Arabidopsis thaliana: one gene and its partner. The protein of the gene in region 2 interacts with the protein of the main gene of each other region in a pairwise test. Each region holds a gene or a part of one and is shown on either strand. Other genes may lie near its edges.

Evidence for each region.
Region 1: the proteins of WRKY47 (region 2) and AGL21 interact in binary tests that used the Arabidopsis thaliana proteins (3 or more experiments, as listed by UniProt).

The regions. Positions count from the first base shown.
Region 1 is NC_003075.7:17,834,411-17,840,497, forward strand, and holds AGL21 (AGAMOUS-like 21), read right to left. Parts: upstream 4,560-6,087; 5' UTR 4,212-4,559; coding exon 4,030-4,211; intron 3,175-4,029; exon of another isoform or gene 2,352-3,174; coding exon 2,273-2,351; intron 2,128-2,272; coding exon 2,066-2,127; intron 1,942-2,065; coding exon 1,842-1,941; intron 1,752-1,841; coding exon of another isoform or gene 1,727-1,751; coding exon 1,685-1,726; intron 1,583-1,684; coding exon 1,499-1,582; intron 1,423-1,498; coding exon 1,285-1,422; 3' UTR 1,278-1,284; intron 1,183-1,277; 3' UTR 807-1,182; downstream 1-806. Other genes in the region: SHM1 (serine transhydroxymethyltransferase 1), read right to left, coding at 89-139, 246-332. UniProt on the Arabidopsis thaliana protein: Probable transcription factor.
Region 2 is NC_003075.7:742,957-749,087, reverse strand, and holds WRKY47 (WRKY family transcription factor), read right to left. Parts: upstream 4,285-6,131; 5' UTR 4,140-4,284; coding exon 3,918-4,139; intron 3,836-3,917; coding exon 3,764-3,835; intron 3,373-3,763; coding exon 3,214-3,372; intron 2,404-3,213; coding exon 2,146-2,403; intron 2,051-2,145; coding exon 1,937-2,050; intron 1,514-1,936; coding exon 869-1,513; 3' UTR 534-868; downstream 1-533. UniProt on the Arabidopsis thaliana protein: Transcription factor. Interacts specifically with the W box (5'-(T)TGAC[CT]-3'), a frequently occurring elicitor-responsive cis-acting element.

The DNA of each region.
Region 1 (6,087 bases), about 17 Mb from region 2:
ACATAGAACTTCAACAATCAAAACCATTGCTTCAACCACAAGGAAAACTATAAACAAACAAGAGATACAAAAAGGCGCTTAAACTCACAGTGACACGAGATCTTTCCTTCTCATCAACAGCTTCACTGGGCAAAGAAGACTGCAACGGAACAAACAGAAATCAGAAAAAAAAAAAAAAAAAATCGAAAATTTCCAATCCGATTATAAAATTCGGAGATAAAAGGAAGAAACTTTAGGGTTGTTACCATGTAACATGAAGTGGATCGAATAAGAGGACGAATGGGTTTGTCAATTGAAGAAGAAAGCCTTCGAAGAGCCATGGCCATCGCCATTTTTCGCTAAACCTCTCTCTATCTCTGGTTTGTGAAACCCTAGAAACAGATTTGAAACATGAACGAGAGAGAAGAGAGAACAAAAATAACAAAATTGGGTTTATCTTGTTTGAGAGAATTGTGGCCTCTGCTTTTGGCTGAGCTTTTGGTGGTTGCAGCAAATTTTCGAATTTTTTCCCTCTTTTTTTATTTATATTTTCTTCTGATTTTTATTTTATATTTGTTGTTTCTTTGTCGTTATCTCTCAGGTCCCTGTCTACACCAACCTTTGTGAATTGTGATGATTTGGTGACGACGATGATTTGTTTCCCTTTAAGACAGAACCTTTATTGGTTTCTGGTCAGTGCAGTCAACGATAACCGATTCAGTTATCACACATCAATTTAATTTATATAGTTTCCAAACCGGTTAGTTTGGGGGAATAAGATTAACAGAATTATGGTGAATTTACAAAATAAAACCAACAAAACAAAAAACTTAACAGAAAATGTTTATTTAACATTTTAGAATTACCAAGTGCATGGTTATATATATTAAACAAATTATTGATCTAAGAATATTGATATTTGAGAGAGTTTTGAGGATAATAATTCATATGATTTTTCTCTATTAATTGACGAATCTATGGTTATAAACAAGTACAATATTAATACTCAAGATGAGTATAACAACACCGGATTTTAATTATATATGCTTTAATTATATTTAGGATTGAAAATATGACTATGTTAGAAGAACCATGCTGCTTATCGTACGTGGCTTGGTGTATAGAGGTTTCCAGTTCAAGAACCTTATTCAAACCAAGGCCTTTGGAGTGTTCTTCAACATCATGGTATCTTCCAACTTCAATCTGTGAAAGTTTTTAACGAGTTACATAAAATATATAAAATGCCTAAATGGTGCATGCATGTTTGTGAAACATCAAGATCAATTAAAAAAGTTTACCTCTCTGTTATTCGTTTGCTCTTGGTGGAGTGTCATAATCGGAATGTTCAGGCTGGCTTAGTTGCAGCCGAATCTGAGTGTGTGATTCATCATCCGCAACAGCTACTTCACGGTGTGTAAACCCGTTTGTGTTTGCCATATAAGCCTGAAAGTCGAAGCCATATCACTTCGAAGCTCTTACTCCAAAGAAAATGGAGTTTTTGTAAAACATGATTTGTTACCTTCTTGTAGAGCTCCACATTTTCTTGATGAATCCGTTGTACTTTCCTAGATAAATCGAGGTTTTCCTGATGAATAAGATTCCTCTGCACCACGATCAACAAAAATCCCAAAATTAGAATTGTAACTTTTGGTAGGGGATATTTGTGTGTGTCAGTGTGTGTATATATATATCTCATCATAGTGACCTTTTGGCTTAGTTCTTGGATTTCTTGAGTCAACAGTTGTTCCTGTGAATCCGGAAAAGCAATCGTTCTATTGATTTCCGTTGTGTTCTATAGTCAATCTTTTGAGTAATACACTCCAAAGCATATAATAGAAGGTAGAGTATATGTATTTATGTACCTTTCTCATACGAATTCCACGCAAACTTATCTCAATTTGATTCTCAAGACTGTTTAGCTCGTTAACACTTAAACCATTTAGCTGTTCTCCCATCATTTGCCTGCTTCATAGCAAACATACCGCAATCCATAACTACAAGTTTCTTCATTTCCTTTACATGCCTTCTATATTTTGATCAAAGACTAATTCTTAATACAAAATGTTATAAAAGTTCAAGGCGATACCGATGATTTTCTTGCAAAGCATGCAGTTCTTGTCTTAGAACAGCAGCTTCTCTCTGCCAAAACTGTAACACACAACACAAATAACTCATCAAACTTTGAACAGCTCAGTAAACCAAAATCTCATTTCAAAAATCAAACATCATGCTAAAGCATCAATCAATATATAATCACATATCTTTAGAGTTGTCGCTATATCTATATGTATACCTTGACTTCTGATGCGGGGTTCAATAGTTGTTGTTGCTCGATCTTGCTCTTGTTGTATCTATCAATAACCGACTTCATGCTATTCAAAATATTTAATATTAGTATACCTTGTTCATGGTATATAATTCACTCATATCATATCATCTCTTAGAGTAAATTACGTAAAAGATATTAATTTTCGATCGTGAAGTTTTTCCAAGTACTCCATTAAAAAGCTTTCATACGTAAAGAAAAAACTCATAGCCTAGAAATTTGTGCAATATAGACTTTCCTGCATTGGCAACATTATTTACACACGCTTATATATGTACACATACATACATTTCACATAATGTATATAATCTTGAACTCAGCAGTAATACGAATTTGTTACACAAACTAGATAAACTATATATAAAGTAAGTAGATGTTAGTTTCTTTTTTCAATAAGTAACAAAAACAAATGCTTAAATGTTATTTCTAGGGTGTAGATAAGCAAGAACTTTAAAGGAATCCAGTTCTAAGCTATAAACAAAATGACATAAATGTAATGCATTAGCATGGCACACTTTATTTTAAATCCAAGCAAACAATAACATGGTGTTAGTTAGTTTTAAGAATGGTATATAAACTTGACTAAATATGCTAAGTAATTTCATTTACCAAGAGGTTCGTAAACCCTATGATACATGAGAAATGTTATCAAAAGACAAACGTGAAGAATTAATAATGCTTAAGGTTGATGCTAATATAAAATTCCTCAAGGAAAATAGGGAAAAACAAAAATTCGCATTACCATACTCTTTTATTTGGTTGTTTTAATTGATAAATATGAAATTATATAAATTTTCAAAATATATAATCAAAATATTATATGATTTAGAATTACATGTTTATATATGTTTTCTAATAATTAGTTTTTTATCTCTATATTTTTTTTATATTAATCAAACTTTTAACAAAGAATAACTTACTCAGAAAATAGACAATTATAACGATTTTGCAGATATAAAGTTAAATATACAGAGTAATCTGATCGTTTAGTAATAATATATATGATTATATATAAATATCAAAAACATGTTTATGTTTACGAGTATAAATAGATCATTTTGTTAGTGGGTTAAACTAAATCAGCTTCCAGTTTATTGGATTTGAGAAATTAAGTCCTCTACATACCAATCTTCTAACTCGTGGTCTCCAATTATAATTCTTTTTTAGCTTTCCAATAGTGATGTTTGGGCATTCACACTTGTTTTCTCATCTATTTCTGAAACATATCTAAATTTGGAAAATGCAAACAATGAGCCTTAGTTAGTTATAAGTCAATGTCCATACACATAAACATATGTTAGGAAAGTACTTCAAAACATACTGATGATGGGTACATATAATCACCCAAATATGAAGCAAAGAAACTACTTCAAATTATTTTTTCAGCTTCAAAAATATTACTCTTCTTTAAAACTTCTACCTCATTTTTAATCTTTCTTTGTTGTAAGAAAACTGTTTGTCGGCTATACAAGACACATCTTATTGTACATACGGGAAAATTAATGTAACATGTTCTACGGACCGCCAGATGCGAAAAAATTCCACTATATTTGAATAGATCCCACAGCTACATATATCTCAGTGAATATCACCAAGCCTTCTAATAAACAAAACCGTAGCATAAAATTATATGCATACAGTGGTACACAACATCTCCGTAGATGTACATCCACAAAATCAAGAAGATATAAAGATTTCAGAATGAATAATTTTAAAAGAAGAACCTGGAGCTTGCAAAGTCATAGAGCTTTCCGGTGCTAGAGAAGATGATGAGACCGACCTCGGCATCACAGAGAATAGCTAGCTCTTTGGCTTTCTTGATAAGGCCCTTTCTTCGTTTGGAGAAAGTGACTTGTCTACTCGTTGAATCATCGATCCTTTGGATCACAATCTTCCCTCTTCCCATCAATTTTATCCTCTAATTGAATCTCCTCTGGTTCTTCTCTTTTTTAGGGTTTTTTTTTTTGTAGATCTTACCAAGCCCAAAAGGGAAGGGAATATGAAGATGAACGAATAAGGAGAAAGAGAAAGGTAGAAATAGAGAGAGAGGAAGGTTGAGCCAAGAGTCAACAATCTATTCGAGGAATAAACTAAGTATATATATGCATATGCACACACACACATACACACTCACCTCTCAGTTTGAGACATTTTTGGGTAGATTTAATACATAGAAAAGTACTAAATTTCTAGTCCAAAATTAGTATTTGTGTGTATGATTTTATCAAACCAATGAAATAGAGAGAAGTTCTTATAAAGTTCCTAGGTTAAGAGAATATATAGATATAGCTTAAATGTGTGTCATATATACAACTTTAATCACTGATTCTTTTTTATAGTTTGTTTATTACGGGAGATAGTGGAAACTTAATGGAATTGTTTAGATAAAAAGGAGTGAAATAATATTAAACTTAGTGTGAGTTAGGTAAATTTCCATTATCAATAATATTTCCTTTTTAACATGTCCGTACATTATTTATAATTTATTCTTAAGTCTTATTTCAAATGTCATGTGAAAATAGTGAATGGGCGCATCACAGGACTGTGTTTCTCTGACAAAACCCTCTTGCTTTATATGCTGCTTTACTTAATTTAATTAGTATCTTTTAGAGGTGATTAAAAGAAAATTAAAAATATTCTGGCCCTTTATTATGGTCATAGGAAAACTTATACTATATTAATTAGATCTGTCCAAAAGATATTTACCCAAAAAAGTAAGAGAATGGATTGAACAAAAACATACAGTATTAATCTAGTACAACATATATTAGTCCATATGGCTTTCGGTAGAAATACAAATGAATAAATTATTTTTGTGTCAATTAATAAATGATTTTAAACGATATCAAGTACACGTGTCAGACAGGGACTTGGAGTTGCGGAGATTCATCATATTAATTGTTTTGTCGTAAGTTTCCAAATATGGCAAGAAATTTAATATCAAATAACTATATAACGTCTGTTACTTTCGATGGCTTAATGCTTGATTTCTACTCAAAGCAACTCGCGTTCAATATCATAATGAAATGAGCTATACAAAATTTTCACTTATATATAGAATATTTTCACTCAGAAGGCCATATATATATAAACCGTAACTTATATTTCAAGCTTATGCATATTGCAAATATACAATCTAAAATGTAATATGCATTTGTGACAGGCACACGTGGGAGAAGCAGGAACAGCTCCTGAGAACACCAATTGATGGAAGTCTTCGCACGCTCCACCGCAGAATCCGTACACCTGATCCTTCATTACTAACTATTTTTGTGTGTTTATTTTAGTTTCTTTGAATGTCTAAACTTTAACTTTGACCAACCCTCAAACTTGCCATAAATCACCACCCCTAGCGCGAATGTATCCATCAATTGAATTTGATTTAAAAGTAGCAAATGTCCTTTAAACCGAACTAAACCAAGCTCAAACCCTAATAACCAAGTTCGATTTTATACCGTTGATGTATAAGATTTAGGTGGGCCCCAGATAGATAACATGATAATTAAAGATCTATTAAGACCACGTGGGCTGGACTGCTTCGAACCAATCACATCTCGAATCTCAAACTCAAATTCAGATTTGGCTCTTTTTCTATTAACAAAGAATCTTAAAGTTGCTTCCAACTTCCAAGTGACCAAATCCCCAATTATCGTCCTCTTAAGATAAAAGATTCAGTCTCATTCACGCCAGGTGTCAATCATCAGCGAATCATTTCGATTTTACCAATTATAATCATTATTATCTTTAGTTCGACGGGTTTATACCACTCTTTCTTTTACGTT
Region 2 (6,131 bases):
AAAATATACACTGGCAGAGCCGGTTAAACCGACGATTTGGTATATATCAGCGACCTTGTTGTTCTTTAGTTTCTTTGTATTTTGTTCATATACACAATATCGTGTACGCTTTGTAATCATTGGCAACAACTATCAACAACTAAATTATAAATATTTAGTAATCATTGACAGTAACTTGTGGTAGGTTATACTCATACCGATTTAGTTGTGGTTGACAATAACAAATTTCACTGATTCATCGCTAATTAAAATTTAAAATACTAAAAGAAATCAGCTTAGTTACTACAATTGTTTCATATATATATATATATATATATATATATATATATATATATATATATATATATATATATATATATAATAATTGAGCTAACAACTACAAAATCGAACAATCATTGTTATGGTCTTTGACAACTGCGAAACGAACAATAAATCTAATACAGTACTGATCCTTGTCGTTGTTATATTTGATACCTCTCATGATATCTTATTCAGTAGATATAACAAAAAATGTTACTCATATAGTCATATTATATAGTTACATTGTAATATATTAATATATCATACAGGCATGCATGTTCTTTTTTAACATAATATATATTTAAGATGTATACATATACAGAGTATGATTCATAAGAAGTAGGAAAAATAAAACCTACACCCCTCGTTCTTAACATAGAAGAAAAAAAAACGATAGCCAAAATCGTGTAAACCTGTAAAAAAAAAACCTATAATAGCTCTCTCTCTCTCTCAGTGATCTCCATATCATTCATATATAATGTACACCAAAAAAAAACTTAAGATACGCATAATGTATAATATGTGTGTGTAATATATAATAAGATAACATATAATAATGGTAGTAAAATTAGTTTGTAGAGAAAGTGGTGCAAGACTGAGGAAGCTGTGGCGAATCTCCGTTACTACTCCCTCCACTTTTTGCATCAACCTTGTTATCATTAATATCAGTATTATTATTGTTGTCGTTATTACCTCCTCCGATAATGTTTGAGATCGCGGCCGCAAGTGCCGCCGTGAAGTTCGGATCCATCGCAATCGCAGCCCTAACTGAATCGACCATTTCACGTGGTGGGGCTTGTGGGCCAAACAAATTAGGTATTAATAACTGCTGGTTATTATTATTCATAGACCTAATTTGATTAGCGTTTGGTAAAAACGCGGCGGGACCATACTGGCTTAGAAACTGCGGTGGCGGTTGTAGCGGTCGAGGTGGGTTGGTGAGGTCTAAGGTTATGGTGGGGAAAGGAGCTGAGGCAGAGAGTGTTGCGATTGTGGAGGTGTATGGGAAGTTATGGTAGAAGGATGATGATGACGTGGCGGAGGGGCTAGAGAGTGTTTGGTGGAGGTTGCTGGAGGAGGAGCCTGATAAGAGCATGGCTGCTGCGGCGGAGGTGGTTGCAGCCATGGCTGTGGCTGACGGGGGAAGAGGATGGTTATGGTTTCCTTCGTACGTTGTTGTCAAGATAGTTGTATCCTCCGCGCATCGTTGGACCTATTTACATTCAAATAAACATTTTAAATCATTTTGTTACGTAAAACAATAAAGTTTTCTTTAAGAATAAATATGTCGCATTCTAGTTTTGGTTTTTCATAAGTAAAAGATTTTGTTAGAAAGGGATTTAGTAAAGCCTTTCTAAATTTAGAATTATTTTCTATACTCTTCTTAAAACTTTCTAAATCTGTTGTATGAAGGACTTTAATAAGGTTTTATGGTATTGCTCTAAATCAATACTTCTAAAGGATACGTAATATAATCGGTTATATTAGTGTTGTTATTATGTCAATTTTTATATTCAAAGCTACATGTTGACGAAAAGAACCAATACTATATACGTTAATCAATACAAAATTCTAATACCAAATTTTTTTTTCTATAATTATGATAACATTTTCTCATATATATAGTTATACTAACCTGTTTACGGACAGGACATCCAACGGCCATGGTGCAACGATAATAAGCGCGAGGACATGGATTCCCTTTCGCCATTTTCTGACCGTATTTTCTCCATTGACATCCGTCATTTACCTATATTATATATTAATATTGATTCAATTTTCATAACTCATATATATATGTAAGGTTAAACGAATCAAAAAAATTAGTAACTTATAGAAAGTTACCGTAGTGGCATCAGATCTAGCTCTAACGGAAACCCTAGCTTTTCTATAGGGTAATTGATCATGAGGGTTTTGTTGTTCTTCATGATTAGTACTCTTGTTTTGGTCTATTCGAGGAGTTTTTGGTGATCCTCGGTGCATATCACGACCATCCACGTCGTCTGGAGACCGTCGTTTCAAGGTGGTGGCCGGAGTTTCATGGTTCATATCCTTTGGTCTTCTGTTCTCTAGAGCTTGTGAGGAACCAGCTTGAGGTACATCCTTTTTGCCAAACAAAAATTTGCAAGAAAGATGTGTCAGTTTTATAAGAAAATTGAAAGAAAAAGACGTTGAAATTTACCCAAAATCATACCGTAGTATCGGTAATTAATTTGATCAAGTAACCTCATAATATATATAGTACCGATAGACCCAAAGACAAGATAATAAATATAAACACACACATAATAATAGACATTTGATAACCTACCACATATGCATTCACATATGGACGTATTAAACTATTAAAATTCTAAGGCAAAGACTCATATATGATGCATCTACAGATTGTGGACAAACAAAATATGATGCATATACAGGAACATACCTAACTATAAACAAATAACTTATCGTTTGTAGCTTCTGAAAACAAAAGGTTTTTTCTAGTTTGAAATATCTTAGTCCGAAATTTGATTTTCCATTTAATATTAAGTTATGAAACATTTTTTTCTTGACCAAGTCATTGGCTAGCTATTTATTTCATCTTCTTCATATTTTATCAAATAAAAGCTGCACGTATTTATTCGTCTTATGACTTTCAATCTGGGCATTTAAGATGAAAATTATGAATTCATTACATAACTAAACTACATCCATTATTTACGCATATTACACATAGTTTTAAAATTTTAATTGCTTTCGAGAAAAACAAAACTAATAGATCACTTTAAATTTTCAAAACCAGATAAATCGAACACTAAAACCTAAGCTAATCTCGGTGCCACATAAAAAAGACAAATATACAATTTATTTTTTAATAAACCGAAATGTTGATATATATTTTATTATCATTTTTATGATTTTATCAAGTACCTCATGTTGTTTATGATGAAGACCTTCCACTTGTGTTTGTCTTGCTAACAAAACTCTTCTTTGGAGGTCGTTGTAACTCTCACTGACCTCATCTAATAAATGCTTCAGTTTGTGATTCTCCTCGTGAAGCCTCTCTAGCTCCAACTTCAGTCTACTAATCTGCAAATTGTTTAATAATCATAACCGTAACTATAAAAGTATAAATCAAACAATTTTTTTTTTCATTAAAAACAACCTACAGTTTTATATACGGAACTAAATTAAAGATTACAAAAAAGAAAAGAATTAAATATGTGTATATACATAAATGAATATGCGCATTTAGATAAACTCACATGATCGGGTAATCAAGTGTGTGTGTGTGTCCACACAACAAAAATTACCATCCGATTATTTTGTTGACAAATACAAATAGTTTTTTTTTTAAGTAACAAATACAAATAGTTTGTATATAAGTGAATTATTCTTAATACAAACACTGAAATTATGTTACCACAGGATACTCTGAAATTCTATCAAAGAGAAAAAATAACAATTTAGAAATACTTACTTGAGTTTTGGTTTTGTCATCGCCATCATTGCTTGATGTTCCATGACATGAATTTACCAAACCTAATCCATCCTATTATGCCATGAATTTTATGTAATTAAGTTATAACGTCCAAACATATATTTGTATTCATATCTATAATTTAAAAACTTACATTAAAACCAGATGATCCAACGATCGTCGTTGTTCTCACATGACCAAGATCAAACGGCTGACTTTTAGCAGCGAAGAAATCAACTTCTTTGATAGACGACTCGTGATGACGTTCCACCGGAGACTCGTTCGGTTGATGATCCTTTGAGTCAGAATCTCCGTGGAGAAATTCTCCTGAGTGTAAGAACGCAATTTCACGGCGATCTTGAATATGTTCTTCCATTTGCAGACAAAGAGAGATAGATAGAGATAGAGAGAAGAAAAAGAAAAAAAAGAGAGTCCCTTTATATAAAGACTAAATTTATGAGGATAAGTTGTGTAAAGTCTTAGCTAAAGGTTTCCATTTTCAACGAGAAATCACTCTTTTGTCAAATGTTACACATACAAATAAATGACCAAGCAACTGTTGGGAATATTATATTAGAAGGTTGGTAATTTCCGAAATTGCATAATGATTTAGTTTATACTAATTACGTAAATTATGCGAAAATGCCAATTTTATCTAATCAATTCTTATGACATACATAAAACGAAAATTTACAGCGTTGCATTTAAAATTTATATTTGATATTTATATTTTATGTGCTCAAACATTTGATATATATGTTGAAAATTATTTATGATAAGTATCAGTCTGACTCTTTCTTTTGCCTTTTAAAATAGGAAGATCTTGAGTGGTTCTTAAATGTCAGATTTGATCTCAATATTATAAGTATGTCTTTATTGTTATTTTGTTTTCTTTCTAATTTTGTTTAGAACTGGTATAAAATTTGGATACTTGCAGCCAGAATATAATTGAGAAAATGCCTTGAGATGGATAAATTCCTCGATATATAGCGTCATAAATGTACACGTGTTAAATAACCAGGGTAAGATAGAAAAAAGTGACGTGTAAATCGGCGATAAATGTCGAGCGGAATTAATTTAATTGTTAACAGTGACGGATTTCCGTTAAGTGGCCGTTAGTAAGAAAGTTGACGGAGAAAGACGACGTGAGTGAGACTCAGTAAAAGACGAGCAGCGTTGTCCTGAAGTCAACGGAGTTGACGGCACGGCATAACGGTGGCACTAAAGGACGGTGAAGAAACGTTAAAGAGAGTGGGACCCACACAAGGAAGAATGGGACCCACATAGGGAAGAAAAAGAACCTAATCTCTCCAACTTGGACCATTCATTGAAACCGGAGCTAACTACCAAAGTCTTAAACTCGTCATTTATTTTGCCTTTTTCTTAAAAATTTAAAATAGTTAATAATAATACTATAGTTTTTTTTTTCTAAACTAATAATCAGAATTTCTGAATCTGTCATCGTCAACAAGCTCAGTGTAGACCGTCGTGCAAGGTCATTTGAATATATTTATATAGATATCATGATTTTGGGTTAGTTATTTGAGATTCAGATTTGATATCTTTAATGATTCGTTTTATAATTATAAACATAAAATTTATATACTTGTTCAGTAGTCAGTACTATATATACAGAGTCTTAGATTTCACAATATTAGTTTACATATATATATTTATAATGTTATTACGTGATTTTTCCACATTAAAAATGTATATCTGATTATGATAACTTTTCAGGTTTTATTTGGAAATTAATATCATATAAATAATTAATTTCAAAAGAGAACTTGTTTGTTTGTTTTGTTAAATAGCATTTTGGATTTTGTTTTGTTTAAGATATAAACCTGAGAAGAATAAGGTCTTGAATGTTTTGTAGATTTTGTAAGAGTTTTTGGATTTTGTTTTTCAAAAACTTATTTTCATAACAATCAAGATTTTAAAATTTTGGTTTCCCTACAATTTGAAAAACTATTTTGTTGTAATTTTCCATTCATGATTTTAGTTTTTTAGTTTTTCTAAAATTTAGGGAATCTAGTTTTTACTCCATCAACGTTATTTTTCTCAAAAACTAAAAACTAATTTTTTGAAGTTTTTAAAACAAAAATATATTAACAAAAATCTAAAACTAAAATCTAAAATCTAGAAACTAAAATCAAAATCCAAAAACTGAATCGAAAATCAGCATCCATTCAGGGCCTAAATCTTTTGGTTGGAAATTGACATATAAATCTCTTTAGTTAGATCAACATTTTAGCTAAGGATATATTTTACCAGATTTGGACCATCCTAAAGGCTACTATATTTATTGGCGCTGAAATATTTGCTCCTTGATTGTTTATTCTGGAGAAAACTTTTTTCTTAGAGCATT